Linked DNA regions of Macaca fascicularis. The protein of the gene in region 1 interacts with the protein of each later gene in a pairwise test. Links are inferred from orthologs where the notes say so. Each region holds a gene or a part of one and is shown on either strand. Other genes may lie near its edges. The genes, in order: UBE2E3, CNOT4 and RNF167.

What was found.
Region 2: the proteins of UBE2E3 (region 1) and CNOT4 interact in a two-hybrid assay, tested with the Homo sapiens proteins (3 studies listed by BioGRID and IntAct). The link is inferred for Macaca fascicularis from reciprocal best matches to the Homo sapiens genes UBE2E3 and CNOT4.
Region 3: the proteins of UBE2E3 (region 1) and RNF167 interact in a two-hybrid assay, tested with the Homo sapiens proteins (2 studies listed by BioGRID and IntAct). The link is inferred for Macaca fascicularis from reciprocal best matches to the Homo sapiens genes UBE2E3 and RNF167.

What each region holds. Positions count from the first base shown.
Region 1 is NC_088386.1:76,483,937-76,494,263, reverse strand, and holds the start of UBE2E3 (ubiquitin-conjugating enzyme E2 E3), read right to left. Parts: upstream 5,651-10,327; intron 5,313-5,650; coding exon of another isoform or gene 5,270-5,312; intron 5,113-5,269; 5' UTR 5,088-5,112; coding exon 4,894-5,087; intron 3,096-4,893; coding exon 3,045-3,095; intron 1-3,044. Other genes in the region: uncharacterized protein, read left to right, coding at 5,270-5,312, 5,833-7,238. UniProt on the Homo sapiens protein: Accepts ubiquitin from the E1 complex and catalyzes its covalent attachment to other proteins. In vitro catalyzes 'Lys-11'- and 'Lys-48'-, as well as 'Lys-63'-linked polyubiquitination.
Region 2 is NC_088377.1:177,038,449-177,048,680, reverse strand, and holds the end of CNOT4 (CCR4-NOT transcription complex subunit 4), read left to right. Parts: intron 1-5,645; coding exon 5,646-5,858; intron 5,859-6,535; coding exon 6,536-6,837; 3' UTR 6,838-7,928; downstream 7,929-10,232. UniProt on the Homo sapiens protein: Has E3 ubiquitin ligase activity, promoting ubiquitination and degradation of target proteins. Involved in activation of the JAK/STAT pathway. Catalyzes ubiquitination of methylated RBM15.
Region 3 is NC_088390.1:5,055,534-5,065,865, reverse strand, and holds RNF167 (E3 ubiquitin-protein ligase RNF167), read right to left. Parts: upstream 6,332-10,332; 5' UTR 6,220-6,331; coding exon 6,136-6,219; intron 6,053-6,135; coding exon 5,972-6,052; intron 4,837-5,971; coding exon 4,711-4,836; intron 4,602-4,710; coding exon 4,514-4,601; intron 4,331-4,513; coding exon 4,240-4,330; intron 4,007-4,239; coding exon 3,901-4,006; intron 3,776-3,900; coding exon 3,682-3,775; intron 2,813-3,681; coding exon 2,741-2,812; intron 2,651-2,740; coding exon 2,570-2,650; intron 2,494-2,569; coding exon 2,192-2,493; 3' UTR 1,982-2,191; downstream 1-1,981. Other genes in the region: PFN1 (profilin-1), read left to right, coding at 384-785; SLC25A11 (mitochondrial 2-oxoglutarate/malate carrier protein), read left to right, coding at 7,224-7,318, 7,923-8,075, 8,160-8,366, 8,543-8,633, 8,716-8,806, 8,892-8,991, 9,071-9,122, 9,247-9,402.

The DNA.
Region 1 (10,327 bases):
TACACTATGGTCCATGGCCCTCCAATACCTAAAACCTAAAATAACATCAAATCACTGGAAATAACGTCATTATCAAACTTTTACATTATCAGGAAAAGAAATATCAATGCTATCAAAATATACTAAAACATGTATAAAGCCATACACAATACTAACATCACCCTGGGTGTGTATGTACTAGACATAACTATATACTAATTAAACAATATTTCATTAATTAAAAAATAGGAAGGGATTTTAAAGAAATCGTCCCAGTCTGAATAATTTTTGTTTTGCTGAGTTTTCTTGTATTTCATTCAACGTTTTCCTGAATGTACACAGATATACTTTACATTTCTTCCCCGAGGAAGAATTAAAGCTGTCACGTACTTTGACAAACTTGTAAAAATCGTATTCAAGACTGTAATGGAATTCTGATTAAATAACTACACATGAAAGCCAAATGTATTAGGTTTCATAGATCTCAGGCAATATGAATTCACATATTCTAGAATTTATGAATATAGATTCCATTTTTAATTACAGCATAAATTAATAAATTTAAACTGTACAATCACCGTAAAGCTAAAATTCTCATTTACGCACTTGTGAATTAAAAGAACATAACACCACAGTCTGTCACAGATCTGACACAAAGGCAAAAATATAATACAAATTCAGGCTTCTTACTTGTCAAAATTCTAAAACACCTTTACTGAATACTCAGTATTCCAATTCCCACTCAAGGACAAAAAGTAGGTCTTCTTCCACCCAAAAGAATTTGAAGACAAACAAAGTATCTGGATATTTTACATGTGAGGCATAGGGAAAAACACTGCCTCCAATAATAAGCAACAACTTATCCTGGTTCCCTACTAAGACATATTTTATGTCTGTTTTTCACATACCACAGCCACACATAAACTCATCTATTAAAAGAACTTGAGAACTAAAAGATGTCATTTGCAATAGGTGAGAGTCATCACAGGTTGTGACAAGGGAAAGCAGGGATGAGGTGTTCCATGTTATTGTTCACAGAAAACTCAAAGTTTTGATGTTTCACTAGTCTAATCACTAAATGAGGAAGCATTATTTCAAGGACTTAAATGAAATCTGGTATATAAAGAGAAAGACAAGTGAAACCACCTATCTCGTGGAAAGATTCTACTCCCTCTAAAATAATCCTCAGTGACCTTGAGGAAACATTCCCAAGTTAAACATGTAAAGCAGATTTCTCTGGTAACTGCAACAGCAGGCTATTGCTCTGAGGGCACTCAACACATGTCTACTAGGCTTTCTAGATTTATGCATATACATTAGTTTCTTCCATTTGCAGAAAATCAACAGAAACCTTTAAAAATGTTTGACCTTACATGCAATTTTAAAACATTTAAGAGTTCTGAATTGATAGATCTTTACATTTTTCATAATGGGAAATATCAGAACACACTCTGCAAGTTAAGTGATTCTTCCAGCGAGCAAATTTAACTTGACCTCCCTAAATGGCTACAGATTTGACACACCATTTAGAAGGCTGGAGGGAAAATACTTTGATTTGCTTGTTCTCTAAAGCAGCACTGTTCAATAGAAATATAATGCAAGTCACATATGTAATTTTAAATATTCCAATAACCATATTAAAATAGTAAAAAATTGAAATTCATTTTAATAACATTTTATATAGCCAGATACATCCAAAATATTATTTTAACATGCAATGAACATATTTTTTAAGTCAATGCAATATTATACACTCTTTTGTTGTACAAAGTTTTCAAAATCCAATGTGTATAAATTTTACCCTTATACCACATCTCATTTTGGACTAGCCACAACCGAAGAGGTCAACAGCCACATGTGGCAAGTGGTGACGTTACTGGACAGCACAGCTCTTAAGTAATACTTTGAGATCTCACATACCACTATCTCCTTAAAATTAGTTTACATTCATGTTTCCTGTTTGAACTGAAATTACAAATACAAGCAAACTGTTCATTCAATGGATAAATCAGGATCAAATCACCTTATCTGAGGATCCAGTTAACATACACAGTAAGAAGCAATTGGATTATACCCTATTATATATCACAAGTAGACTTCAGAGATAGGGTCTATCATCCCAAGTGAATACAACTTGTAACAGAAATACAGGTTAAACACGAAAACATTTTCCTATCAAACCATAAAACTGCCTTATTTCTTGCAGCCGTTCGCATTATTGGGCACATATCTCTTCACAAATTATCTACAATATTGTTTTCTATGTGTGTTCAATTTTGTAAGCCATATAGTCATTTAAAAAAGAATAGAGCGCTATACAAATGAAATGAAAAAAATTATTGGAGAAAAAATACTCAACCAGATACTTTTAATGTATCTTATACCAACCAATAATCTTAAATTCATCTACCTGAGTTCCACTGAAATGAATTCTCACAATTCCAATTCATTTACTGCTTTTCATACACAAATTCCAACTACCAAAATTACTAAAAATTTCCTCAAGCCATCAGGACATTGGCTTAAAACGTAAATAATTCCAACAATGCATTCTGTAGAAAACGAGGACTAAAACCATTAGCTTAGCCCATAAAATTTATCCTTAAGGCTAGTAACTGAATAAATCAAACAGAACCAACTATATGCTTGTTTACTGCATTTACATTTTGTAACACCACATTCAGCAATTTCTAAATAGGGAAGGTCAGTACAGACTGCACACAAGCAGTAACTTTAAAGCTGAGCAAAATTTTAGAAGTTTCTTCAGTATACTTCTGAATAAACACCCTCTACAGAAATACATCAGAACAAAAATCAGCACCATTCATAAGAATCTCAGAAGCACAAAATCAGTATATTCATAAATCCACAAAGTATACTTATGCTAAAAAGTATTTTTCTCCCAATTTTATCTAGTTCACCTTCTACAATTTTTGTTTAATGCACTTGCAAAGCTGTAAAGAAGCAAACGTTGTCTCCTCTGCTGCACACATATCCAGACAATACATCAATCTCTTGATATTTTTCCACAATTTGAAACCGAAACAACAAAATTCATTTCTTACCTGCAATTAGGAGGAGGATCAAGGGTTATTTCAGCTAGCTCCTTCTGAATTCTGTTAGTGAAATGAGAAGAGACAAAAAGGATTTGAGATAGTCTACAGAATAACCAGGGAATTACACTGCCCTCTACCATCATGCAGTTAAATGCAAGGCTGGCTCTGCCTTCAGTAATGCTAACATGGCTGCTTCCTCTTTGTTCTCAGAGGCATAACCCAAATCCCTTAACAGAAACTTTGCAGCTTTTTTTCTCACTTGCTGCTGCAAATAAGTAAGTCATTTACACTTGATTTGAGAAATACTCATCCACTAGTACTCAGTAAAGAATATAATATCTATTTCAAAACACTTTTTACCAAAGAAATTCTCTTTTCAAGCTTATATGCAAATGAGACAAAAAGGGAGGAGGGAAAGCACTGGAATATTTGACAAGGACTTCGAGTGACTTTTACTGAGGTAAAAATTAACAGGCTACTGCAACAGCACATTAACAGTTCTGACAATATTTTATCTGTCAAAAAAAAAGTTTAAAATTTACAAATATCTTTACTGGTGAAAAACTTTCGAAGACTACATGACATTCTAATTTACCCATTTCTGTTTTCCCTGATCATAGGCACAGCACTTAAATTTAGTAAATATTGACAGAAAGAGAAAATACATAGGCCTGAGTTAAGGGGGAGAAAAGCAGTTCTCTGATTTGATTCAAATTTAAGATGCTTTCAAAACTTTAGACGTGTCTAATATGTTCTGCATCAACACTATACCAAATTGAGAAGGATTTTATATTATGTCAAAGACTGCTGCCATTCAAAAATATTCTCAAGTTATTAATACATCATTACTGAGACAATAAAGGTGAAAATCCATAGAAAAATATGAGTATTTATGAATCACCACAGAATGCAGTATTTGTAGAAATATTTTTTCCTTTAGTTGTGATCAATAAAAATTAACAAAATGTCAACATTGGCTAACGCTGTAGAGATTATACATTTTATGTATAATTACTAGAGTTTGTGGATGTTCCACTACTACTACCACTGACAGAGTCTCATTGACAGAATCTTTTCTTCTCTATCAGAAAATATAAATCAATAGGAAACAAATGATCTTCCACTTACATCCAATTAAATATGTTTCTCCTGCTGTTGAGTATTAACTTGTCAAGCACATCCACAAGTTTCAGAGTGAAGAGGTCCAAGGACAATGAAAGTTTTCTATCACCAGTGACACCTCAAATTGTAAAGGGCTACTTTTCAGTTTGATTTGCCCTCACAAGCACAGGGAGGGATAATCATAATTTAACCACGAAAGTTACCTGTGATACATGATTTAAAGTCATGTTTTGTAAAACTGTAAGCAGATTTGCAGCACGATTTTAAATCTGCTTTCAAACATAGCAAAGGCCTGAATTTGCAATTTTCTAGCAAATATGATCATTTCTGATCATTAAGTTTCATGAAGAGAGGCCCTGCTAATCTCTGGAAGTGTCAATTTCATTAAAGAAGATTATGACTCATAAAAGGAAACATCCCCAAAGTACCATCTAATTTGGGTTCACCAAATTTTCCTTGCCAACTCCTTAAACAATCTGTCAGAATGTTAGTCTAATCTCTACTCAAGGATACTCAACTGAAGTTACCGAAGTACAGAATAAGTTTGCTTAAAAGCATAATTCTAGCAAGGTTGCATACATACCACCTAAAGAATGACAACTCATTCAAGTACAAATAAACTGATAATGAAGTAAATATTTCTGAACTATTGCTACTGATGTAAAACCAACAAAAGCGTCCAACCACCTGGAAGACAACCTGACAAAGTGTGCTGGATCCTTCTTTTACACATTACCTTTTAGCACTAGTGGATAACTTAGCAGTGGTTTTGCTAGAGAGTTTGGTGTTTTTCTTCTGCTGGGCGGCAGAAGGTTTTCTTTCCTCTTGTTCTTCAGGCTCTGGAGCGGCTGGGTCTCGCTGGTCCGCATCTGAACTGCCACTGCTGGTGCTGGGGCTCTCATCATCGGACCTTTGCCTATCACTGGACATCTTGGTGAAGTTATCTCTTGGAAAACTTTTAAAGAGAACAGGGGAGGATGGGGAGAAAATGTTAAATCTAGGAAATAAACCAACAGCATTTTCTTCTATTCATCTAATATCGTATTGTAATGAAAAAGCTTCAAAAGTGTTCACACTTATTTCATCATACAACAAGGGTTACAAGGGAGGTGATGTGTCACACAACGCCAGCGTTCAGGGATTTGCCGAACTCAAGTTAGAAAACCCACTCACATTTTTTTCCATCTCTTGGACAATCTATCAATTGTCTACTTTCTCAGAAGGCATGAAACAGATTTGCCAAGGAACTTAGGCAACAAGCATTAATAACATATGACATACTGTAAATAACAGATCTCGCTGAAAAAATGTTTAAAAGTCACTAATAACGTCTAAATATTTACACACTGACATTGGTCAAAGCTACCAAATTCCCTTTCCGAGAGGAAAACACACCCTGTTAATCGCCCATATGCTTATTTAAGGTGGCGATTCCTTCTCAGTGCACGTAAAGGCTTTAAACACAACACTTGGAAATTTAAAAATCAACTAACGAGCTCCTCTAGCTGTTTCCACCGCCAGCAGCGAAGATTCATCCGGCCAAGACCTAGCTGCCACCCTGGGAAAAGCAGAATTCAAACTGCACCTTCTGCAAAGCTCCCAATGCCACCAAGGTTCCTCGCTCAATTTTTACATCACGGACCGACATTTTGTCCAAAATAACGAAAAAAATAAGAAACCCAGAGGAAAAACAAACAAACAAACAAAGCCCCAAGAAGTGCAACAAATTTCCGCGCCCGCGGAGGCGAGTCGCGGCCGGCGGCGGCGGCCACGCAGCTCCGCGGCCCTTTGTGGGGAGGGCCGCGCGGGGGCCGCGGGCAGCGCTCGCCGCGCCGGGCGCCAAGTGATGCGAGCAGCCCGGCCGGCCCCGCCGCGGCTCGCGGACACCGGCGGCGCGGGCGCCCGGCGCGAACAAAGCTGCCCGCCCCCGCCCCCTCCCCCACCGCAGCCGCCGCCGCCCCGGCCGCCCCCCACGCGGCCCCCCGGCCCCTCCGCCTTACCTCGGCCGCCCGCCCGGCCCGCTCGCGCGCCGCTACGGTGTGGGGGAGGGAGAGAGAAAAAAACCCTTCCTTAAGGAAATGGAGGCAGCTGTGGGGGGGGGAAGGGGGGGGAGGGAAAAAAAGAAGCCGAGGAGGCTCTGGCCGGGGAGTGTGGAACATTGAAAGTCGGAGGGGGTTGTGCAGTGCCGGGCTCCGGCCGGAGGGTGGCGCCGCCCAGCGCCTTCGGAAAAAAGGGGGGGTGGGAGCTCGGCTGGGCGAGGGCGCGAGCTCCCGGCGAGGCGGAGGGGACGCGGGAGACCCCCGCGCGCTGTGGCCTCCCGCCGCCGCCGCCCGGCTCGGCTCCTCCCGGCCGCGCAGTCAGCAAGTTCCGAGGCGAACGCGGGGGGAGGGGCGGGCGCGGCGGCGGCGCGCGTGCTCGCTGCTTGCCTGGCGGAGGGGCGCGCGCCGCCGGCGCCCGGCGGGCGCGAGCTGTTCCCGCGCGCTCCCGCGCGCGCTCCCCGCACCTCCCCTCACCCGGGGGGTGCACGCGTCCGCCCGCGCGCGGCCAGGACAAAGAGCGCGGCGGGGACCTGGCGGGCTGGCCCCTGCCGCCCTTGGCCGCGGAGCCTGTGCCAGAGAAGGCGGGGGCGCGGGCACCGTATCGTGGGGCCGCTGTGCCGCGGGGTGGCTTCCGGCCTGGGCCCGCCTCCGGGCGGAGGCTGCCCATTGGGCTACCCGCGTCCCCAGGGCTAGTTCCATCCCGTCCGCCTGCGTGGGGGACGTCGTGGCTCCCGGGGCCCCAGTACCTGGGAAAGGGCCCTGGGCGCGTGGTTGGGAGTCCCCCGCCGCCCCGGGAGACGGGAGACTAATGGGTGTTGTTGGCGAGGCCAGGCACGCAGGCGGAGAAGAGCTGCCACTTGCCCCTCGTGTAAGCTGGAGGAAGGGACAAGGTGGGGTCCTGGGCATTGAAGAGAGTAGAATATATTTGTTGATTAGGGGACCAACCTCTATTTATTTTTGGCTCACAGCTTGCAACTGTCGCTGCCAAAAGAGACCGTCCTTCGGATGCTTTGAAACCTTAAAAATCCAAAACAGTGTTTAAAATGTCCCGCTCAACATTCTTAAAAGTGAAGGAGAAGAGTTTGGGGTTGTGGGGTGGCGATGAGAGCTAAATACATGACACTTTTCTGCGGGACTCTTCTGCCTTGCACGAGGTGCCAGTTCTGGAAAGAAGTCCTGAGTGATGGTGGGTCAGAATGTCCACCCAGAAAAGCTTTAGGTGGAGATAGTGACAGTTTTGTTTGTTCTACCATTCTTTTTGCAGTCTCCAGGTGGACTGTGCGGTTTTTACCCCGCGGCACAAAGTAGCCAGAATACAAAAACTTCCTGTTTGCCGCCCAGACCTTCTCCAGCTACTGAGAACTTGTTCCGGTGATGGAGCCTCAAAGGAATTTGTGGATTCCTCTCCCACAAGTGTCCAGGGGCAGGGGTGCTGTGAGAATGTGCAGTTCACAGAGGGAGTGAGAATGGCAGAGTCAAAACATGTACCAGAGTTAAGGGAAAGACGAAAAGACTGAGTGAGCCAACTATTTGCTTATTATTTCTCCTAATAGAAAACTTTTGGTAAAAGCTTGATAACAACTCTAAAGAATAAGTTACATTTACGTAATTTTCCAAAGACACAGTCATTCAGTTAACTTTATTGAGGGCTCTATGTTGCTAGGTGCTGGACACACTCATTCAGTTGCTGTGTGACTAAAGCCAGGTCTCTACTCTGTGCTAAGAGCTCCTCATCCAGAAGGGGAACAGTTCATTAAAGTTCACTAGATTCATAAGCAGTAAGGATATTCCACTCAGAATGAACAGATAGAATAACTCATGCCTCAAAAAAGAGCATGGTCGGTCTGTGGACGAGCATTTTGATTTGGCTGGGTCAAAGAGTGCTTGTGGGAAAAGCTTGTTAGTGAAAATAAACGCAGAATTTTCCCCCAGCTTTACACGATGTGATGTTACAGCAAAAGCCAGACAATTTGGAGTTCAAGCTTTGCTTTGTTTGGAATGGGGAGATATAAAAGGAAAGCTGTATGCTAAACATGGGTTCTTTTAGGAAATTTAAGAACACAGAAATAGCCTGAAGGCCCAAAGGCCAGTTGCTGATAGGATTTAGTGGGGTGAGGAGCTTAGGGGAGAAAGATATTTAGTTGTGTTTGGTAACGTCTTCAGAAATAGTATTGGGTTGAAAAGCAAGGTAAGTGTATTCTAATCCTCATTCTACTAAGTTCATATGACCTTGGGCAAGTTAAGTTATTTCAATTACTCTTATGTAAAAGGAGATTGTATCAAAGGTTCTAAACCCTCTTCTCAAAAATTCCATGATTCCATGATTTTTTGGTGAGTTTGAAGTCATGGAGTTTAACTTAACTTTCACCCAACAGAATATTCAGGATCTACTAACTGCTTGGGAAACTGGAGTGAAACATGGGTCATGCTCTTAACCAAGCTCGATTGTGTAGTGGGGCAGCCAGAAAAGTAGCCTGCAGAATGAGAAGTGCTATATTAAAGAAGTGAATGAGAATAGAGCATTCTTAATCATCAATTAATTAATAATGGAACTATTAATTCAGGTTGGAGTTGTGGGGCGTGAGGTAAACGTCAAAGAAGGAAACATTAGATTAGTCCTGGAGAGAGCACTAGGGCTAGTGATAATGTAGATAATATAGGTAATACTCTTGGCAAAATACCTGGAACTTGGGTGTTCAACAAATAATACCTATTGTTAAAGTCACCATAAATATAATGAATGGTTCCATGAGGTTAGGGGCAGTAGTGCCCTGCCCCCCCAATGTGAGGTGCCTGGCTCCCTTCATTCAGCTGACTCAAGGGGTTGCTCAAATGATTTCAACTCACAGCTCCTCTCCCAGATGACATGGCATCACCTCCACCAGACGTAACTTGTAAGGTACAAATTGCTTCTAATGTTTAGTTCTTCCTCATGTGACAACCTGTTTTGTAATTATTTTCTCTCTCTCTCTTGTTTTTGCTATGTCAGTCCTTGAAATTAGGGTTCATGTTTCACGGGCACTCTTGGGAGCATATAAATTTGACCTAATGAAATTATTTCATAAAATATATAATAAAAAGCGCCCTTTTCCCATAAGGTCCCTCAGAATAGTTTCACAAGCAGACACCAGCTACCACACAAAAGATTGTTTCTTCTCAGTCTCTTTTCTTTTCTCTTGTTGGTGTGGGGTCCTGCCAGCCTCTCACTCACAGCCCTGAGAAGGGCAGTAGTAGGAGGGAAGATGCCGAATCCAATTGCAGTATTACAATGATTATCTCTTATCCCCTTATCCACCAAATGTTGTGACAAAAAGAGGCCTGCCTAAGGGCAAATAAGTCAGACCCCAGAATCCTTTGCACCTCCGTAGTTTGGGAGATGCTTTTCCTTTCAATGAGTCTCTGTTATCTGTGTACATAATTGTGAGTATGTGTAACTAAGAATTTCACAGGATCTCTCACTGAATTACCTGAGAAGTTTCTTAATTGAATGATTATGTAAGCTGGGGTATAGACCTCAACTCATCCACCATGACCAACAGCATCCCTCACACATAGAAGATGTAGAATACATATGAATTTATTTTGTTGATTTTAAGGTGCTTTGTTTCCTTCCAGTCAATAACTTTTCTGAGTGTCCCTTCAGTTTTACTGGCTGTTTCTGATGCTTTCCAGTTACTTGTATCCTCAGTCCTCTGGCTAAGCAGTTTTCTCTTTCTACCCATAAACACTGGATTGGTTTACTAGAAAGGTATTTCTTGGCTCAGCCTTAGTTTACACAGCCTTGTTTGTCATTGTTAGTCCCAGTGTCTTTGGACCCCCAGAATCCAAGTGCACCCAGTGACATCTGGGTGCACTTCCACTGCATCCTGAGGGGAAAACCTGCTGTGTGCTACACCAAGGGCTGAGCCCTGGAGTTCGAAAGGTGCATAAGCCTTGGTTTGACGTCAGATAACTCAGTGATTATTTTCTGTATTTCTCTTTTGAGATAACTCTAAGGGAAGGTATATACCCAGAAAGGCTTATGTCATGGTAAGGAGCCTGTACACGTGAAACAAAACCATGAGCACCTTAGTATGTCAAAAGGCATTACAGAAAGATTTTTAAAGAAATATTTAACATTATAACAAAAAT
Region 2 (10,232 bases), on another chromosome or scaffold:
AGGAACCAGGTTTCTGTTGTGTAGCCACTTGCACCAAGAAAGATTTGTTTAAGTAACCTAACCACTGGAGCATGTGGTTTTGAACTGTAAAGGACAAGAGTGAAGATGGAAGACAAAAGCTTTTTAGAAAAAATCAGGTTGTATTGAGCCTTTTGGTAATGACCATTAAATATGGCTCACAAACTGAAGTGCAGAATAAACACTTTTAGGTGTATTTTGTGACTGGGTCTCTCAGTGAGCGACATCCTCGCTGAGGATAAATGCACCCTGTAGGGGTGTATTTATTGTTTGATGAGAAGACCTTGAGGAGTTGGTACCAAAAATAAAATAGAGGCAAGAATTCCAAGAAGGCACAATATCCTGATTTGATGGCACAAAAATATATTCGTGGAAACATATCTACTGGAATTGTCTTGTTTGGGGGCTTGTTTTACGTGTGTTTTATCTCAATATGTTGTCATTATGCAGAGATCATCTATGTCTTTACCCTTTTAGCAGCAGATCTTATTTTTCAAATTAAATTTTACATGGTGCCCTACGTAAACTACATAAAATCAAGGTGGGAAGGAAGGATGCCTTGTCCTGGTACCCTGCCCCCTCAACTTCCATTCTTTCAGGTGAAGCTTTTTATGCCAGCTAGAAAAACTCATTGGCTTATTGCCAGTGACAGGTTACTGTTATGAGTAGGTTTGCCCACATTTTGCTATTTATAGTTTTACATTTCATAATAATTAACATATTGCAGTTAACCTGGAGAACAGAAAGGAGGGATACCCACTCTGTATGCTATTAATGCTAACGGTGTGTGCTTGCCCAAGCAGTGTTCTGTGAAAGGTCTGATGTCAGAATTCATTCTGAAATATAGTCTATAAGATAGTCATTGTTTAAAATGCCTTTCTGTGTACTTCCTAGTAAACAGTTGGACTTGTACAGTGTTATGTAGAAATACTAAAGATAGTTTCAACCTGTTGTGAGATTTTCAGGTTTGGCGTGGGAGGAGGGGGAAAGCTATGTAGTAACTAAAATGGCAACTCCACGAATGCTGCTGTTCTTCACCCACCAACACGTTCCCATACGTGTCCCAACTGGCCTGTCTTTTTACTGAACTTATGTAGCTTATTTTAATCATATACCACCCTGGGCGTTTCTTCTGTTGCTTTCTCAGATGTAGTTGTTGAACTTTTCGTGTATTTTCATCGTCCCACTGTCTAGACTTTTAGCCCCTTAAAAACAGAGGTCATGATTTAAGTGCTTTTATGTTCCACGCACACTGTAGGCACTCAGTAAAGAGTTGCTTTGATTTTTAGCTTGGCGGTCTTAATATATGCATTTTATACTGATTTTTTAAACTTGTTGTTGTTGCTAAAAACTAGACTTGTCAACTTGTTTAGTGCATCATGATCAGCTTACTATGGATTCTGCTACCTTGACCAGCAAAGTAGCAGAATTTTAACTATAATTTCTTCTTTAATAAGAGGTTTTCTGAGGCAGGCAAACGAAGTATACTGATACTTCTTACACAGTAGAATATGAAAGTGTGGCACATGGCATCTTGAAAGTACTTTAAATTGTGTGCCTTTGAGTTCTGCACTGAAAAATAGAACTACTACCAACAACTTGACCCCCTTTCCTGCCCTCAGATTGTTTAGAACTGAAAATAGTGTTTTGTTGTACATACTTATATGCCATAAAGTAAAATTTTTTACATCAGAAAACATCTAAATATATTATCAATTCTTTAAGAATAAACACTCCTTCCCTGATGTATTATACTATTACTAATTACTTTAAAAATAAAATTAGTATTGTTTTTAATATAAAATGTTTGGTAACTTGATTTTTATTTTACTTTGCTTGCTCTTTTCACATCTTATGGTAAGTTTAAAGTACTTTCTGGTATCTTTCTAATGTTTTAGCAATGAGAAGGCTCATTATTAGATTGACTTCACAGTACCGCTGAGAATGATGGGCGCTATTCCTAAGTTCCTAAAAGGAGACTTGTACACAGGGCTAGTTCCTGGCAGTAAGAAATACTCTGCCTTAGCTTCTTGGAAAGTTTATATCCATTCAGTATTGACCACCAGTGGAGCATTTGTTGTTAGGCATTTAGCAAGTAATAAATGTGCTCCAAATTGCATTTCCTTCTCTTACTTTTATCCTTATGAGAGAGTAAGGCCGGTGTTATTTTTACTTATGAATTAGGAGTCCTGGGATATACATGGCTAAATTATATTGACAGCCAGTTGTAGAGATGCCTTATACAACCTATCTACAATGTTTTCTATATGAAACCTACTGACTTATACACGTTGAATTGTACTCCAGTGTGAAGTCCTGTATACATAAAAGAAAATGAACTTGCATCAAGTTGAGTCAGTGGTCAAAGTCCTGGTACTATTCAAAAGGAAAATGTGCAGTCAAGTTAGATCATTTAAGAGCCCTAGAAGCAAAGGAATCGACTTCGTTTGTGTCAGTGGTTCTGGTTCTCAACTGGATGCAATTTTGCTTCCCTAGAAGACATTTGCAATGTCTAAAGACAATTTTGGCTATCAAAACTGGGGAGCTGGTACCCCTAGCCTCTAGTGGGTAGAGGCCGGCAATGCTGCTTACCCTCCCACAGTGCTCAGGACAGCGCTCCACAACAGAGAATTATGTAGTTCAAACTGTCAGTAGTGATGAGGTTGATAAACCCTGCTGTGTGTGTTTCAAAGAATGGAATTGCCAGAAGCCCTTGCAGCCAAGACAAATTTGGGTCATTGGGAGGGAATGGGGAGTCAAGGACGTGACTTCAGGTACGGCTGGACTGAGATGAGCTATTTTGATGGGGTTAGGATTAAGCTGATTTCCTTTCTCTCACCTTTTCTTTGTGCCAACACTTGGCATAGCAATAGTGGAAAAAACAGTGAAATAAACTTCTTTTCTTCTAAGCTAGATGGAATATGGTCCTATTCCAAGAGCTAAAAGCATCATTCTACTTCCCTGTAACGCTTGCAGCTTTACTGTAAGCCACACACCCATGCTGTCAGGCTCCCAAAATGTCAAGGCACATGATGTTTTGGGGGGAGGAGGGGTGTAAAGATTGTTGCATTATAAACTAGCTAATTTATTTCCCAAGGTATCCTGTAATCATAGTGCACCTGGGATCTAAATTTCTCACTGTTTCTGCATCATGTGCCATATGTGAATTTCTTTGGCTAACATACTCTTGCTTGATTTGATTAGTCTACAATTACAGGAACAAATGTCCCTTAAAACAAACTTTTTTAAGAGTAGTTTTAGGTTCTCAGCAAAATGGAGTGGGAAGTACAGAGAGTTCTCATATAACCCCTCTGCCTTTATTGTCTTTTGACTTTATTACTGATTTTCAAATAAGATTTATGTAAATGCAAGTGTTATTCTGTTAATGCAAAATTAAATGTTCCTCAGTTTCATTGCTCACTAAATGGTAAAGCAAAAGTTAGGAGCAGATTGGTCTGACTTATGGGCTATTCTCTCTCTCCCTAGTCAGTAGAAGAGGGAGGATCATCATTTGCATGGACTTCTTAGGGACGTTAGCCACTCGGTGTAAGAGCATTTATCCTCCTGAACATTTTCCCATGTAGTTATACATCATCTTTCTATTTCTGGGGGATTTTATTTTTCTTCCAGGAAGTTTTCCCTGTTTTGTTTTTGCCTAATTGGAAGCTATTTTAAGTTATTCAGCCTGACAGTTTGACTGCTTTAAAAGTTAGAATGTTCCATAGCCGTAAACCTTCCTGTAATTGAGAGTGTTCTAGGACTTAAATTTGTGATCTTGTTTGTGTCTCATGTAGTTAGGGAGCCAGGGGGAAACTAACGATTGTATTCTTGATTAGAATTTTTTTCTCCTGGCCACAAAGTCCAGTTTCTTCCTTGAGTCACAATATCTCTCTTCAAATCATGACCAGTGGGCATACTATAATGCTTCTGTGTTTCTCTCTTGCCTCCTTTCAATCGTGGATCTTCCCCTGGACTTTCCCTTTAATATTTGACCCTTTAAAAAATTAATAGTCTGTACAGAGTAGATCAAGAGAGAGTAAGCTTGCTTGCTTTTTTTTTTTTTTTTTGTCAGGGTTAAGGTTCAGGTTCTCAATAACAAGTTTTGTGAACTTGGGCAAATTATTCCTGAGTCTGTTTCTTTATCTAGTAAATGCAGATTGTTTATCCTCCTCTGCCTACCTCTCAGGGCTGTTGTGAAGATCAAATGAAATAATTGACTGTTAGAGTGTCTTGTAAACCATACAATCAATACAAATGTAAAATAATATGCAAATATAAGAAATGTGAGGTTTAGTAAATTACATCAATTATGAAATGAAAGTGGCTTGGAGAATGTATTTTCCCTTCTGATGTCTTGTTTTGTGTAGCCTAGAGAGCTTTTTCTTCATCTTAGTAAGTTCAGAGATGACCTTTGTTCAGTTTAGTTGTAGTTTTTTGTCTTTTTCTAAATAAGGTCAATGGAGTTAAATGCTTCACTTGTTGAAACATGATATAATTTGGCATAGATCAGTGGTTGGTGGAAAGCAAAATTACAAAAAGAAAATCCTGATTTTGCTAAGCAGTGTAGATCGTGCCTGATAGAACCTCCTCCTCCTCCATCTCTTCCTCCTCCTCAGCGTTGATTGCTAATCAGTTCTGTAGAATCAGAAATATTTTTCTATGCTTTTTTCCAAAACTCGTTTGTAATTTGATTTACATTCCTATTTTCAATAAAACAGCTATCTAAGTATTTGTTAAATAAAACAATTATCTAAGTAGTTGTTATACTTCACCCTTTTCCCCCCAACCAGTTAGTTATACTATGTGGATTCTGGATGGTAGTAGATCAAGTTAGTTTAGTCACAATTTATAAAAAGCCTTTTTTATGTTGCTAGTGTCTTCTCATGTTTGATGCGATTCATAAATAGACCCAGAAAACTGTAGGGCTCCAGGATTCCGGCTGTGAATGATCGGTCAAACTGTTGGAGTAGGGCAGGCAGACTGTGTTGGACATTCCATCTAAAAGGTGTCAGCTCCTGCCTCCTTGGCCTTAGTGACTAAATGGAAATACATTCTTTTCAAATTCAAAAGCCTGTTCATTACTGCTTTTCTCTTCTGAAACACATTGCCAGTTTTATAATCAAGAAGGACTTAATTATTTTTCTTTTTCTATTGCTTATGTTTATTCTTCATAAAATGACTTTTCTTCCATTTGATGGGCTGAGAAATAAGCTCCTATATTGGACTTTGCAGACTTGGCTTTTTTATAGCGTAAATCAGCTCAGCTGGCTAAATGCCTCACTAACTGAAACTTCATAATGTAGCTGGAACTAAATTGTGCTCTGGAGCATTGAGTCTTTAAACTGGATTATTGATTTACAAACCCATAATGGTGAAGAGGCTGTAGAGAGACAAGAAGCTCCCTCTCCTGATCCTTGAGCAGGTTTTTCCTCACTTACTTCAGGGGCTCTCAGCTCACGAGCAAAATCCTAATGAAGTTTATCCTGCTAGGACAACCCATTTTAAATGCTCAATAAAGAAAGAATAATTCTTCTCCCGCTTAACCACTAAAGAACAACATATGTTTCTAACGTAGCTTTTTATTTTTTTTTTTTTATCTTTCATTTTTTTGTTGGTAAATCTCCCAGACAACAGCAGTTCTGTAGAGAGTTTAAATATGAAGGAATGGCAGGACGGGCTAAGGGCACTTCTACCCAACATTAACATCAACTTTGGTGGACTGCCCAATTCTTCTTCCCCCTCCAACGCCAACCACAGTGCACCAACCTCCAACACTGCCACCACCGACAGCCTGAGTTGGGACAGCCCTGGCAGCTGGACAGACCCAGCCATCATCACAGGTAACTTTCTCACTCCCTTCAGCTCCACTGACTGCCAACAGTTTGGTTTTTAGCACAGATAAAATAAAAACCAAGATCTCTTCAACATAAGCTTCTTTTCACAAAGCTGCAAGTGTGGAGTGGCTTGTTTCGTTCTCAGGGGTCATGCAAGTCTCATTTAACCTGTCGGCCTAGTTGTGTATTAATAAGAAGGCATTTGGTGCCTAGGTTGCTTCTTCTGGTTTAAGTAGGTGTTAACGTCTAGCAACATGTGTATTTTGTAGGCCTCAAAGTACAAAAGGATCTGACTTACTCTTCTTATAAGGAACATACTCCACTTTTTGTTATAAAGCTCTCTATTATAAGGCTGTCTTGTTACGCATCCCTGTCAGAGGAAGAAAAGCACAATTGGGAAATGCCGTCATGCAGTTCTGGGGAATGGTATTTTGCAGCTGTGCCTCTGTGACAGTGGGGGACTAAGTCTAGTTCAAGAGGAGGCATGGGTTTGTGTGACAATAAGTCTTGGTTGTTGGGGGAGGATCAAAGGAACAGAAGGTTTAAAAGGTCTCATGTGGAAGGAGTTTAAAATTGTAATCTCTTCTGTGTTTCCTTTTGGTTTTGTTTTCTAAATTTGTTTGATGACCTGTTCTTTCCACACAAACTCACCATTTTCCCTCTTTTTTCTTTTCTTTCCTTAGGTATTCCAGCATCTTCAGGAAACAGTTTAGACTCTCTTCAAGATGACAATCCTCCACACTGGCTAAAATCCCTTCAGGCCCTCACAGAGATGGACGGCCCCAGCGCTGCTCCATCACAGACCCACCACAGCGCCCCCTTCAGCACACAGATCCCGCTGCACAGAGCCAGTTGGAATCCCTACCCTCCTCCTTCAAACCCTTCCAGCTTCCACTCCCCACCCCCAGGCTTTCAGACGGCCTTCAGACCCCCCAGCAAAACCCCCACAGATTTACTACAGAGTTCAACACTGGACCGCCATTAGGCAAAGAGGAGCAACCATTAGAAAATGCAGGATTTGTCCCACTCTGTTTTCTCCCTCTCAGCCCACCACCCACAGCTCCCTTCTCATCTCTTATGTTCTGAAGAATCCAGTACCTGATCAATTTTTTTTCTCCCTACCCCCAGATGCAATGCGATCACAGGGTCATTACCATCTCTTTATTAATTGTAAAAGTTTTTGTTGATCCAGCATTTGAGTGACACTGTTGAATGTTTCTAAAAATGCCTTTTTAAGGAGAGAAAAAAAAATCAAAGGGCAGTCTCAATACTTAGAAAATTATTGTTTGTCTGTTGCGCATAATAATGACATAATCTGCTTAGCAGAAAATGGCGATTAATCTATAGGAAAGGTCAAGTAAATGCATTATCAACTGCAGAAGTTTGAAAACCAGGTTCATTTACGTGAGATTGCTAAATGCATGGGGGAAAACAGTGGTCCTAGCATCCATCTTGTATTCAGCTTATCATTATTGCAGGGAAAATGCTTTTAATTTAAATTAATTTTTAATTATTTTGGCAAGTTGATGGCAAGGACTTGATTGTGTCGTTAAGCAAAAGAATGTATTGGAAGTTGATGGAAAGACAAATTCATCTGTAGTAGTAACTGGCTGATTGCTAAAGAGTTTATAAGGAGGTGAGAAGTAATTTTTTTAAAGGAGAAAATTTTTTTGGCTTTAGATTTAAAGTAAATTGAAATGTTTTAAAGAAAAAAAGTATTCACAGATTTAATACCTATTAATAATATAAGAGCTGAAATGTAAGTGATTTCTTCAGTCCTTCTCCTCTGTCGGAATCTTTTTTCTTTTACCGTAAATTCACCTGACGAGGGCACTCTGAGATAGCACTGCTCTGGGGCCATCTGATCACCATCAGGAGCAAACCTCTGACCTCCTTGCCTGCAGCTTTTACTTAACCCTGTAGTTTCTGGACGTTTGTGCAGTATTGAAAAGACAGGAGAAAAGAAAACAAAAACCTGGTTATAACCTGACGCTAAAACTAAAAACAAGGAAATGTACCTCTTTCTTCAGAATTAAAACTAAAATCTTAAATAAAACAGAAAACTTGATGATGACACTTGGGTTGTTCTTGTTTTTGTTTTTCCATTTTGTTGCATGTGAGTTTGAAAGATTTTGTGACAAGTAGCCATCAGATGTTTCCATTTGATTTTACATCTTCAACAATAGGGAGGGAGGATGGCTTAGAAGAAGAAAGTGGAGGATAAACAACGATTTTATTGTCAGTCAGTGTCATCCTTGAAGTTCAGCCCATCTTGTCCTCAAGAACCCTCTTCCAGTGGCTTTTAGTAGAAGATTCCTCTTTCTGCTATTGTATTATGCAGGCCAAGCCTTCCCAACTGAGAAGCCTCATGTGCCAGTAATGGAGAGGTTATTGACATGCTGAGACGTTGATTCTCTTTAGGGAGACCTGGCGGGAGCAGCAGCCACTATGTCACACAAGTGGCACCACTTTGTGAGTGCCATGATGGGAAAGAGATCGGGAAACTCTGATGTAGATGATCCGCAGACACATCTTTTATGACTGACCATTTTAGGAAGTACCTGATGAAGGGGCGATGATCACACCACTGACCAAAAGAGGGTAGGGGATAAAAGTTACCTGTTCCCCAACAAGACACCAGGATCTGTGTGGTTTGTATGTCTTGTCTTGGGCTGCATTCAGAAGCCCAAAGCAGGAACTGGCATATTTTCAGCCATGTCCATTAAGGGAAGCTGTCGGATCAACTAGATAGATAGAGATTATACGTTCTGTGTTTTCAGCTCGGTTTTTTTCATCCTTACCTGTACGCTGTACTTTAATTTGTTAAAAAAAAAGTTTCAACACAAGTTTTAGAAACTTAAACGTGGTATTCTCAAATAAATGTCACCACAAATAGATGGTGACCAAGTGGTTAGTAAATTGTTTTGTAAAATTAACAAAATTTCCCTGGGTAAGTGGAGAGGACTAGAAATGACAGGCTCTCTTTGCCCTTGAACTTTGCTTCAGTCTCCTGAACCTTCACATTGTACTGCCAAATGATGGACCAATGCACAAATAATGTTCAGATGCCAGTAAATTGTAATCAAGGCTCTTTGCGGGGTGGGGAGGGAGTCCTGAGATGGGCATATCAATAAAAATGTTGCTTTTTCTGTAAAAGAAGGGAACTTCCACCTTATAAGGCTGTGCTGTAATTGTGTGTATGTTTAATCGGTCATACAGAAGAGTTTATAGAAAGCATGACTTTACAAAAAGTATGAAGAATAAAAATAATAATGATCTGTGTGCCTACCACCGAGGTTAAAAATAGAGGCCGGGTGCGGTGGCTCACGCCTGTAATCTCAGCACTTTGGGAGGCCGAGGCAGGCGGATCACCTTAGGTCAGGAGTTCAAGACCAGCCTTAACATGGTGAAACCCCGTTTCTACTAGAAAAAAAAAAAAAAAAAATTAGCCCGGCATGGTGGCTCGCACCTGTAATTCCAGCTACTCTGGAGGGTGCGGCAGGAGAATCACTTGAACCCGAGAGGCAGAGGTTGCAGTGAGCCGAGATCGTGCCATTGCACTCCAGCTTGGGCAACAAGAGCATGACTCTGTCTCAAAAAAAAAAAAAAAAAAAAAAAAAAAGAACCTCAGTATCTTAAAAGCCCGCTATTTGCCCTCTCCAATTAGACCATTTTCTTTCCTCCTCATCTACAAATTTTATTTTAATTTCTGTGTTAATCTTCAAGAGTTTTGTCAGCTGTGTATCTATCCTTGAATAATATATTGTTCAGTTTTAAAAAGCTGAGTAATAAACCCAAGCCTAGCTGTGGAAGGAAAGGGCAATGTTGTCACTATTAGATTAAGGCTTTTAGGAGAAGATAAACTAAACAGCTTCTGGGGCATAGCTTGGCTTTAGCGTCTCTGATCATTTATGAAATCCTCTTCTGAGAAGTGCAGTGGCCAAGGTTATGCGTGAGTCCTGGAAAACAGGGCTTGCCAGTTGGGGTAGGTCTTGTCATGTAAGCACAGTCCCAGTTGCCTGGCAGAAATATGGTCTGCAGGATCAGTCTGCTGTCCGTTTCCTGTGTCAAAGCTCACCATGGCTTTTCACCAGTCCTCTGGAGTAGATCACAGATGCTTCGTGAATTAAGTGTCTTAACCCTTTGGGGTGAGGGGTGGGGTTTAAAACAAGTGTCAGCTGATTAATTCATCAGGGCTTGGCAGGGAGAACAGAAAGTTCATTAGGCTTGGTCAAAATCAGAAAGTACAGAAGGCAGCCTGAACCAAACTGACTTAGGCAGCCTGTTGGTATAATAGCAGTGGGAATCTTGGTACTGACAGCTTTCATGGATCACAATACTCAGATCTGGTACACAGCAGTCATTTCTAATATTTCCCTT
Region 3 (10,332 bases), on another chromosome or scaffold:
CAAATAAGGGCAAAGTTGCTTCTCTTGCCTCGCCCGCCCCCCTCCCTTCCCCTCTCCGCTTCTGCTTTTCCTGAAGGAGAGTTCTGAGCATCCAAAGACTCCTCACTTTTATCACTGATTCCCTTTATTTCCTGGGTTTACTTTCCCCCATTAACACTGAGATCTAAATCTCTAGAGGAGTATATCATCTCTTCCTCCCTAGTCCCATATTCTAGGTTTGAGAATCATGATCGTTTTCTGCACTAACGTTCCACAGTCCTCAGAGTTTCTCACAGTTTATTGATGGGTACTGAGTATATAACTTCGCGGGGTGGGTCTTTGGAGAACAAGGTGGGAATCTTGGTGCACTGACTAACTTGATGGGCGCTTGGTTCCTCTTCCAGCCAGCTGAGGTGGGTGTCCTGGTTGGCAAAGACCGGTCAAGTTTTTACGTCAATGGGCTGACACTTGGGGGCCAGAAATGTTCGGTGATCCGGGACTCACTGCTGCAGGATGGGGAGTTTAGCATGGATCTTCGTACCAAGAGCACCGGTGGGGCCCCCACCTTCAATGTCACTGTCACCAAGACTGACAAGAGTGAGTTCCTGAGTCTTACCATTCCTCTAGCGTCAAGATCTCTCATGTACCGCCTTCTGGTAATCTTGAGGGTGCTTTCTTGTGTGATTCCCCAGCATGAAGGCAGTCAGACCAGTATTCTGCCCCTTGTCTGCTGGATGCTGGATGGAACATGGGATAGTCCCTCCATTTCCGTCTCAGTTCCTCATCTTGTAATTCGAAGTTGTTGAACTGCATTACCTCTTAAGTTACTTCCTGCCTTGAGCTCGGATTAGAAACTGTTTTCTAGGAGTATAGGTAGATTCTTGGGGTCCTGAATCATCATCTAGTTAATCGTTTGAGCTCTTTTGTTAGAACCTGGAGGTGGCATGCTCATCCACAGCCCTTTCTAGCCTGAACACGAGTCAACAGTCTATGAGCCTTTGACCCCTAAGTTTTTAGTCTGTTCCTCTCCAGCATTTAAGCTTGATTTTCCTCTTTTGAAAAGCCTTATTGTTTCAGGGTGACTGACAGCCTGCCTGTGTGTGTGTGTTGGGGGGGGTTGGGAGAGATGAGGTTGGGTTACAGCCCCCAGGGCTGGACAGCTGCTGAACAGCTGGCAGGGGGTGGAATTGTGACACCTGGGTCCTAGCCTCCTTTCTCTTTCCTCCTCCAGCGCTAGTCCTGCTGATGGGCAAAGAAGGTGTCCACGGTGGTTTGATCAACAAGAAATGTTATGAAATGGCCTCCCACCTTCGGCGCTCCCAGTACTGACCTCGTCTGTCCCTTCCCCTTCACCGCTCCCCACAGCTTTGCACCCCTTTCCTCCCCCATACACACATACACCATTTTATTTTTTAGGCCATTACCCCATACCCCTTATTGCTGCCAAAACCACATGGGCTGGGGACCAGGGCTGGATGGACAGACAACTCCCCCTACCCATACCCCTCCTGTGTGTGGTTGGAAAACTTTTTTGTTTTTTGGGTTTTTTTTTTTTTTTTCTGAATAAAAAAGATTCTAACAAGGTGCTGTGTGATTTGAGCTTGGGTGTCAGAATGGGGGACAGGCACTGTGACTTGCCTCCTTTATCATGGCTTGGGAGCAGGAAGGTTGAGGTACTACAAGGTGCAAGAATTTGAGCTTCTGGCCAGGTGGCCCTGCCCCTCCACAGTGGCATTTCCAGGCCTAAGTCCTCAGTGTGCTGGTTAAATTGGTGGATAATGGAATAGAGCCATCTGGACCAGAGAATGGGTGCAGGCCTGCAGGCAAGGCAGGGCTAGTTGAGTCATCCTTGTGGGTGGGGCTCCCCCTGAGTCATAGCAAATGCCTGCTGGGGCTGTCCCCATGACTATAGGTTAGTGTCTCAGCATTCTCTTGCTCCTTATGGCTAAAGGGGTGATTCCCCCAAAGGGTTAAGTTCACCTAAAAATTATCTCACCCTTCCTTAGTCCACAAAAAACAATTTTATTAGCCCAAGAAGTGAAGACCCAGTCCCTTTGCTTGCCCCAGCCCCACCCCAATGCCCCTCAAAAGGATAGGTGTGGGTAAGGGAGCAACTTAGGATGGAATGTCCCCTATCCCTCAACTTAGAAGACTGGAGGGAAGAAGACGGTCTGTGCAAATAGGTCACCAGAAGTGTACATGTAGAGGGTTATTAGACCAGGATGACGGGGGAAGAGGGAGGAGAGGGTGGGGGATCTGTTGAAGGCCCAGGAAAAACAAGGGGAGCTGGGGCTAGGGAACCAAATGAGGTGGGAAGAGTGGGGCTAGAACCCAAAAGTGGGGTCCTTTCGGAAGCAGGGTGGTCCCTTGGCTCCCCTTCTTCACCCTCCTCTTGCCCCTGAGCTTCTTCCTCTTGCTCTTCGTCCCCAGGACCACGATGAACAGGCTGCTTGCAAATGGGGCAGGTCTTCCGGGTCTGAGTCAGCCAGGGGTCCACGCAGCGGCTGTGGTAGGCTGCAGAGAGGAACAAGGTGAAGCACCTGGTGGCTGCCAGTGGCAGAGGGGCATGGGCAGGCAGTGAGGGCCTCACCATGAGCACAGGGGAGTACCCGCAGCTTGTCTCCATCTTCATATTCATCCAGGCAGATGGCACAGACATCATACTGGTCTCCTGGGACAGAAAGAAAATAATCTAGTCCTTCACTGAGCCATCGTGACCCAGGGCTAAGGCTTTTAAAGCCTTGCGAAAATTTTCCCTCACCTACAAAGCCAGTGGAAGAGCTAAGACAGGTAGGCAGGATAAGGTCAGGGCAGAACATGGAAGAATTTAGGGCTAAAAGGGACAAGCAAAGAGAAGCAGAGGTAAGAAGGGAAGTGGTTTTTGGGGAGGTGTGAGGGTGGAGATACGGAGTGGAAGGGACGGAAATGGGCAGAGCTTCTGCCATAGCCTTATACGGGCACTGGAGGCCCCAGGGCCTAAAGCCCCAGCCCCACAGTACCACTTTCTTCCTTCTCTAACTGAATCCTCCCCCATTCCTCCCATTTTTCTGCTCTCCACATCCCCCATAAGCAAAGTCTGTCCCTCTATTATTTCCCACAATTATTTCACTTAATCATCTTTGCTTTACATCTCTCCCATCTTCACTGTATTTATGGGTAAAAACAAGACAAGACAGCATCTCAAGCTGAAAATTTCTTACTGCCATCTTTATTACTTTTATTTTTTTGAGAAAGGGACTCCCTCTGTTGCCCAGGCTGGAGCACAGTGGTGCAATCTCAGCCCCCTACAACCTCCGCCTTCCTGGTTCAAGTGATTCTCCTTTCTCAGTCTCCCAAGTAGCTGGGACTACAAGCGCACACCACCATGCTCAGCTAATTTTTGTTATATTTTATAGAGATGGGGTCTCACCACGTTGCCCAGGCTGGCCTGGAACTCCTGGGGTCCAGGGATTCACTTGCCTCAGCCTCCCAAAGTGGTGGGATTTTTTTGTTTCATCATGTTGCCCAGGCTGGTCTCAAACTCCTGGGCTCAAGCGACCTACCCACCTCGGCCTTCCAAAGTGCTGGGATTACAGGCACTTAGGATTACGTGAGCCACTGTGCCCAGCCACTGCCATCTTTGTATACCCTATCTTCTGGGCTCAAAGTCCTTCAGAACCAGGTAAACGGTGGGAAAAACCCTCTCCTCCCCTAACCCCTCACCCTTCTGATAGTCATGTGTAGGAATCTGTTTCAGTTGCTCTTTGGTAAGTCGATTCCGCTGGAGCCGTTTCCGGTGCTGGATACAACGAACTATCTGGTGGAAGAGGGGGTGGATGGACAAGGCTTAGGAATAAAACTAGACAATCTAGGACAAGCCACTCCCAACTCCAGATCCAGTCTGGCCTCAGTGCTTCCCATCATGTTCCCTCAGCTACTCACCATTACTGCTCCCATGGCCAAAACCAGCAGTCCCACAATCCCTGTGAAAGGGATGAGGTAATAGCCCAAGGGGAAGGTATTGTCTGGAACCAGAAGCACCCGAGCCCTGGGAAAGGATGACCAGTCTCAGCAGGGAAAGAAAGGCAAAGGGAGAAAAACAGAGGGACAAAGCAACTGGCTCTGGACAAAGCCCATAGGTGGGGATGGGAATGGGAATAAAGTCAAAGAGGCAGGGAAGGAAGGACAGGAGGCTGAATGGTTCGGGTAATGAGGCCTGGGCTCCAGGTTGGCATGGAACTGCTTGCTGAAGGAAGAATGGGAAGGAGGCATATGTCCTACCCCTTTTCGTAGACAAAGAGGGCACGCAGGTACTCGGAGCTTCTCTCCCCAATAAATACAGATGGGATCCAGATCTGCTGCTGGATTTCCTCTGCAGGGATCAAGGTGTTACTCTGGGGACTCACAACCTTCTACTCAAATCCTTTGGGAACCCTGGCATCTGGCACTTTCGCCCCAACCCACCTAAAGGATTGGCTTTTCCTGAAACCTTCAGCCTTCCCACCATCTCTGGGTCCTACTGAAAGCCCAGCTGTATAGATTCCTCCAGCCTTACCACTGTTCCACACCATGTTCAGAAGTTCATTGGAATTCACATTGTGTACTACAGCGGCACCATATCCAGCCTTCTGGGCATTTAGGACCTAGGAAGACAAGGCAGAGGACAAGGAGCCATCATAGGCCTGACTTGTCTTCATTCCTGGTGCCTTTTTTTACCCTCAGCTGCCCAGCTCCCACTCCACATTCAGCAACCTTGAGGTCAAAGTTGCAGTCGAATCTTCGAAGCAGCGCAATAAAGACTGACCCATTGACCGGGGCTGGGGGTGGTGGGGCAATGGGGCTGCAGGCATTGTCTGGGTGAGCCTCCACAAGGAACCCCTGAAGGATGGAAGCAAACAACAGTGAGATTTCTCCTCCCTAGGTTTCACTCCTACAAGGGCCACCAAACACACCAGCCCACATGCTGCACATCCTCTATCCTCACTTCCTTCTCCTTCCTGGGGTCTGAGCATCGCAACCTCACAACTTTCTCTTAGCCTCTTGAAAAGGTAATGACATAAAACATCCCTTCACCAAACTCTCCCATCATCCCTCTCGCTGTCCCAGATGGGCTAATCTGTACCCTAAACCGCAAGCTAATGCAATTACTTTGCCTTCTAATGTTCTGACTCTCAAGTTCTGTTTCACAGTTTCCTCTCCAATACTTACACAGAACACACTCCCTTCCCTTCAATTTTCTTTTTCTTTTTTTGAGATGGAGTCTCGTTCTGCCACCCAGGCTGGAGTGCAGTGGTGCGATCTCGACTCACTGCAACCTCCACCTCCCGGGTTCAGGTGATTCTCCTGCCTCAGTCTCCCAAGTAGTTGGGACTACAGTCATGCACCATCATGCACAGCTAATGTTTGTAATTTTAGTAGAGATAGGGTTTCACTATGTTAGCCAGGCTGGTCTTGAACTGGGATTACAGATGTGAGTCACCGCGCCCGGCCTCTTCAATTTTCTAATTACCCATCTCACAAACAACTCCACTGCTACTACGGCCCAACTGAGTTCTTGCTATGTGGCAGTCTTTGGGATGAAGTACTACAAAAATTGCGTATCTAATTTAATCTTCACAATAACCCTAGGAAAACTTAAAATATCCCATTTTACAGTAAAACAAACTAAGGCTCAAAGAGAAATTAACTTGCCCAAGGTCATACAAGCAATAGCTTCTGAGACCCTCTTGATAAGGACCGTTGATCCTACCTTCCGTCTCTGTCCACTTTCAGTCTCCCTGATAACCTCGGAGTTCCAGGGGTGGACACTTTGTCTTCTCCCTCTGGATTCTGGATTCTACACTATACGTGCTCAGTTCCTAACTTGATTTTCCTACCTCCAGTTTCACCCAGGACAAACCTCCCCAACCCCAGCCCAGGATGGAAGATCTTGCTAAATATTAAAAAAAGAAAAAAGACAGAAAAGGAAGGAAAGGGGGGGAAGGAGAGGAAGAAAGAAAAGAAAGAAAATCACCTGGAGTCCCTCTTGGCTCAAGGTAGCCCCAAACAGAGCTGGGAGGTCTGCAAAGTCCATGCTGGCATTGTGGTCCGAGGTCTGCGGACAAAAAAGGCAATGTTCCCCTTCAGCCTGCAACCCTTCCCTTCAGCGCCCTTGCCTCCTCCGTCCCTCGGACTCACCGCTCGAATGAGCCCCCGGATGGGGGCCGCTCCCCACAGCACAGCGGCCACAACCACAGGAAGCGGGAAGGCTGCAGGGTGCATGGCAGCGGGAGGAAAGAGGCTGAGGAGGCCGCTCGTCCTGGTAGCAAGGAGCAGAAGCGGAGTTCTGCGCCCTCCCTGCCCCTCCTTTAGGATCCCAGGGGTCCAACCACCCCCAGGTCCCACTTCCCAGCTACATGGAGGCGCCGGGGAAGGAACCCCGACTCAAAGAATGAGATATCCAACCCGTTTAGTGGAGCTGGGTGAGAGGCACTAAATGTATCCTTTTCTGGTACGGGGATAAAACGGGGAAAGGGTACGGAGCCTAACACAGGTGACAGAAAAACTTCGGGAAGGGTGGCGGAGCTCAAGGAGGTGGGACTTCCTGCCAGGTGGGCCGTGTTCCCAGCCTCTGGAAAAGGGCTTCCGGTAGAGAAAGTCAGGCCGCTTTCAGCATTTGATGCTTGAGATGAAGAACTTTCGGTCCTAAAAGGCCGGTTAAAGAAAGGTCAGCGATGGAGGGAGTGCCTGTGGAGATGGAAGGAGCACTGGTGGCCCAGAAGACGACCTAATAAAGGTGCCCGGAAACCTGGAGCCACCTAGTTTACAAACCTCTCCTCCCGCTGGCCGCCGCCACCGCTCCTTCAAATCTCGCGAGAGTGCTCCCCACCTCCCCCGTCCCCTCGCTGCTGAACGCTTGGTGTGTCTATCGCGAGAGCTCTCCTACTCTGGTGAGCCGTACTCACTCGATCTCGCGAGACCTTGAGACAAACTCATCTCTATTTTCCCGCGATTCCAATTTGGTGAAAACTGCGCCTTTCCTCTGGTTTCCTAAATCAGTTACACCCCTTCTCGCACGCTTCCCTCAAGCTCCTCCTTCAGCTCCGCCTTACTCCCGGCCGCCTTTGCGCTGCGCGCCTGCGCCCGCGCCGGCTTCCAGCGGGTGCCGGACCTGAGAGCCGGAGGGGCGTGCGCGCGCCCTCGCCCTGTTGCGCGCGCGGTGTCACCTTGGGCGCGAGCGGGGCCGCGCGCGCACGGGACCCGGAGCCGAGGGCCATTGAGTGGCGATGGCGGCGACGGCGAGTGCCGGGGCCGGCGGGATGGACGGGAAGCCCCGTACCTCCCCTAAGTCCATCAAGTTCCTGTTTGGGGGCCTGGCCGGGTAAGCTCAGGCCCCAGGGATGGGAAAAGAGGAGGAAGGGACGGGTGCAAGGAACCGGGCCCGGTTCATCTCTGGGTCTGTTGCAGTGAACTGTGCCGGCACGGGGTCAGCGTGATCTCCAGCGTATTACGAGTTCCCCAATGGGCTGCTAGGGCCCCATGCAAGGCCCCTTCTGGACTGCATGCGGGGTCGTTGCACAATCCCCGCCGGGCCACCTGAGTTTCCCAGCGCATTGCTAAGCTTGGCCGGGCTACAGGGGATTCCAGGCCATTAAATGGCTCCTGGAGGACTACCTGGAGTCCTAAATCTTGGATGCCCCTTCGTCCCCTCCCTGTGTCGGACTGCGTGCAGCCCCAGGTCACTGCTTGACTGTCATGAAGCTGCTTGGAGCACTTGCATTGCATGGCCCCGACTGGACAACTAGACTTTTCAGACCCGTTGCACTCGGTGTACATATAGACTCTTATACACATGCTCACCAGCATCCTGATTCTTGAATCGCATGGCAGGCCCTGACCTTTGTAACCTCTTGCTGCCAGGCTCCAGTGGGCACTGGTAGATCTGGAATAGTGAATCCCTTCACTCCACCTCTATCTTCCCCCAGGATGGGAGCTACAGTTTTTGTCCAGCCCCTGGACCTGGTGAAGAACCGGATGCAGCTGAGTGGGGAAGGGGCCAAGACTCGAGAGTACAAAACCAGCTTCCATGCCCTCACCAGTATCCTGAAGGCAGAAGGCCTGAGGGGCATTTACACCGGGTATTGGGGCCTCAGGATGGAGGGTAGGCTGTGGGTTGGTAGCTCCAGACCTTGGCCTGATATGCTGACCCCTCTGCTCCTCAGGCTGTCGGCTGGCCTGCTGCGCCAGGCCACCTACACCACTACCCGCCTTGGCATCTATACCGTGTTGTTTGAGCGCTTGACTGGGGCTGATGGTACTCCCCCTGGCTTTCTGCTGAAGGCTCTGATTGGCATGACGGCAGGTGCCACTGGTGCCTTTGTGGGAACACCAGCCGAAGTGGCTCTTATCCGCATGACTGCGGATGGCCGGTGAGTTCCAAGTCTGAGCCTCACCCCAGCCCCATTCCCTGGAATCTAGAATGAAAGGACCCCTTTTCTATCCCACATCTAGAGCAGAGCGTTTACCTGTTCTGGCCTTCCTTTCTTTGCATCTGTGGGGCCCTGTGGGCTATCCTGATCTTGACCTCTTCCTGCCTTCTTATCAGGCTTCCAGCTGACCAGCGCCGTGGCTACAAAAATGTGTTTAATGCCCTGATTCGGATCACCCGGGAAGAGGGAGTCCTCACCCTGTGGCGGGTGAGTGGAGGGGCTGGAGACTTGGGGGCTGTGAAGTCCGGTTTTAGGGGTTTCTGACTCTTGCCCGCTCCCCTCCCTCCAGGGCTGCATCCCTACCATGGCTCGGGCCGTCGTCGTCAATGCTGCCCAGCTGGCCTCCTACTCCCAATCCAAGCAGTTCTTGCTGGACTCAGGTGAGACCCAGAGCTGGGCCCTTAGCTCCCAGCCTGGCCTGAGCCACCTCTGAGCTGACTGCCACCCCCGCCTCACCTCCCCCAGGCTACTTCTCTGACAACATCTTGTGCCACTTCTGTGCCAGCATGATAAGCGGTCTTGTCACCACTGCTGCCTCCATGCCTGTGGATATTGCCAAGACCCGGTGAGTGTGCAGTCTGGTCCTGGAGGTGGGTGGGAAGGTGTCCTTTCGGTCTCTCATGCCCCTGCCTTCTCCCCTTCAGAATCCAGAACATGCGGATGATTGATGGGAAGCCGGAATACAAGAACGGACTGGTGAGGAAGCCATTCTGGGAGCCTGGGTGGGGTGTCAGATCCCCTGGGAAAGGTGTGAAGGCAGCTGGGTAAGGGGGATGGGCCCTAGAGTCCCAGCCCCAGCGCCCTGCTTGTCTGTGTCTAGGATGTCCTGTTCAAGGTTGTCCGCTACGAGGGCTTCTTCAGCCTGTGGAAGGGCTTCACACCGTACTATGCCCGCCTGGGTCCCCACACCGTCCTCACCTTCATCTTCTTGGAGCAGATGAACAAGGCCTACAGGCGTCTCTTCCTCAGTGGCTGAAGCGGCCGGGGGCTCCCACTTGCCTGCTGCGTCTATGGCCACTGCGCCCTGGGGGCCTGGGCTCTGCTGCCCTGGACCCCTCTATTTATTTCCCTTCCACAGTGTGGTTTCTTCCTCTGCGGTAAAGGACTTGGTCTGTTCTACCCCCTGCTCCAGCTTGCCCTGCTCATCCTGATCCTGTGATTTCTCTGTCCCTGGCTATTCTTGCAGGGAGCTGGAAAACTTCCTGAGGATTTCTGGCCTCCCCCTGGGTTTTAGTTTCAGGGCACACAGGACAGCAGAAGATCCCCCTTCTCATTGGGGAAACCAAGGCAGAACTGAGGGGATAGGGAGGAGCAGAAGCCATCAAGATGGTCAAAGGACCTACAGAGGGAGATGTGGCCCTTCCTCCCCCTCACTGAGGACTTAATAAATCGGATTGATGACACCAGCCCCAAATCTGGAGAGTCTGGGGGGTGGCTAGGAGAGGGGAGGAGACTGGACAAAGAAGCTGGTGCCCCTGGAGAATAGGAACTGGAGTTTTTAAGAAAAATTGTTAAAGAAAAAGCAGCCGCTGGTTTTATGCAAATGCTGTGTAAATCTGTCATGCCACAGCAGCTGACAGGGCTAGAAAAACTCAAATCCCAGGCCCAGCGTGTTTCCTCCAGCCACTTGCCCAAGAATGCCACAGACGCACAGATCATTTCACATAATCCCCAGGAAAAGCCCCTCGGTCTGATGACTGCTTCTGCAGCCTAAAGAGGGAGGAGTTAAAGAGACTCTGAGAGAGGAAGACCATTGTGGGGTGGAGGCAGTGCGGGTGGAGGGCCAGGGCTTAAGTGGGTGGGCACTGGAAGCTTGAGGAAAGAGGGATGCTGGCCAGAGACCTGATCTTCGTCCTTGGCTGGGGAGAGTGAGAACCTTATCCATTTCTTTAGAAGATGTGTGGTT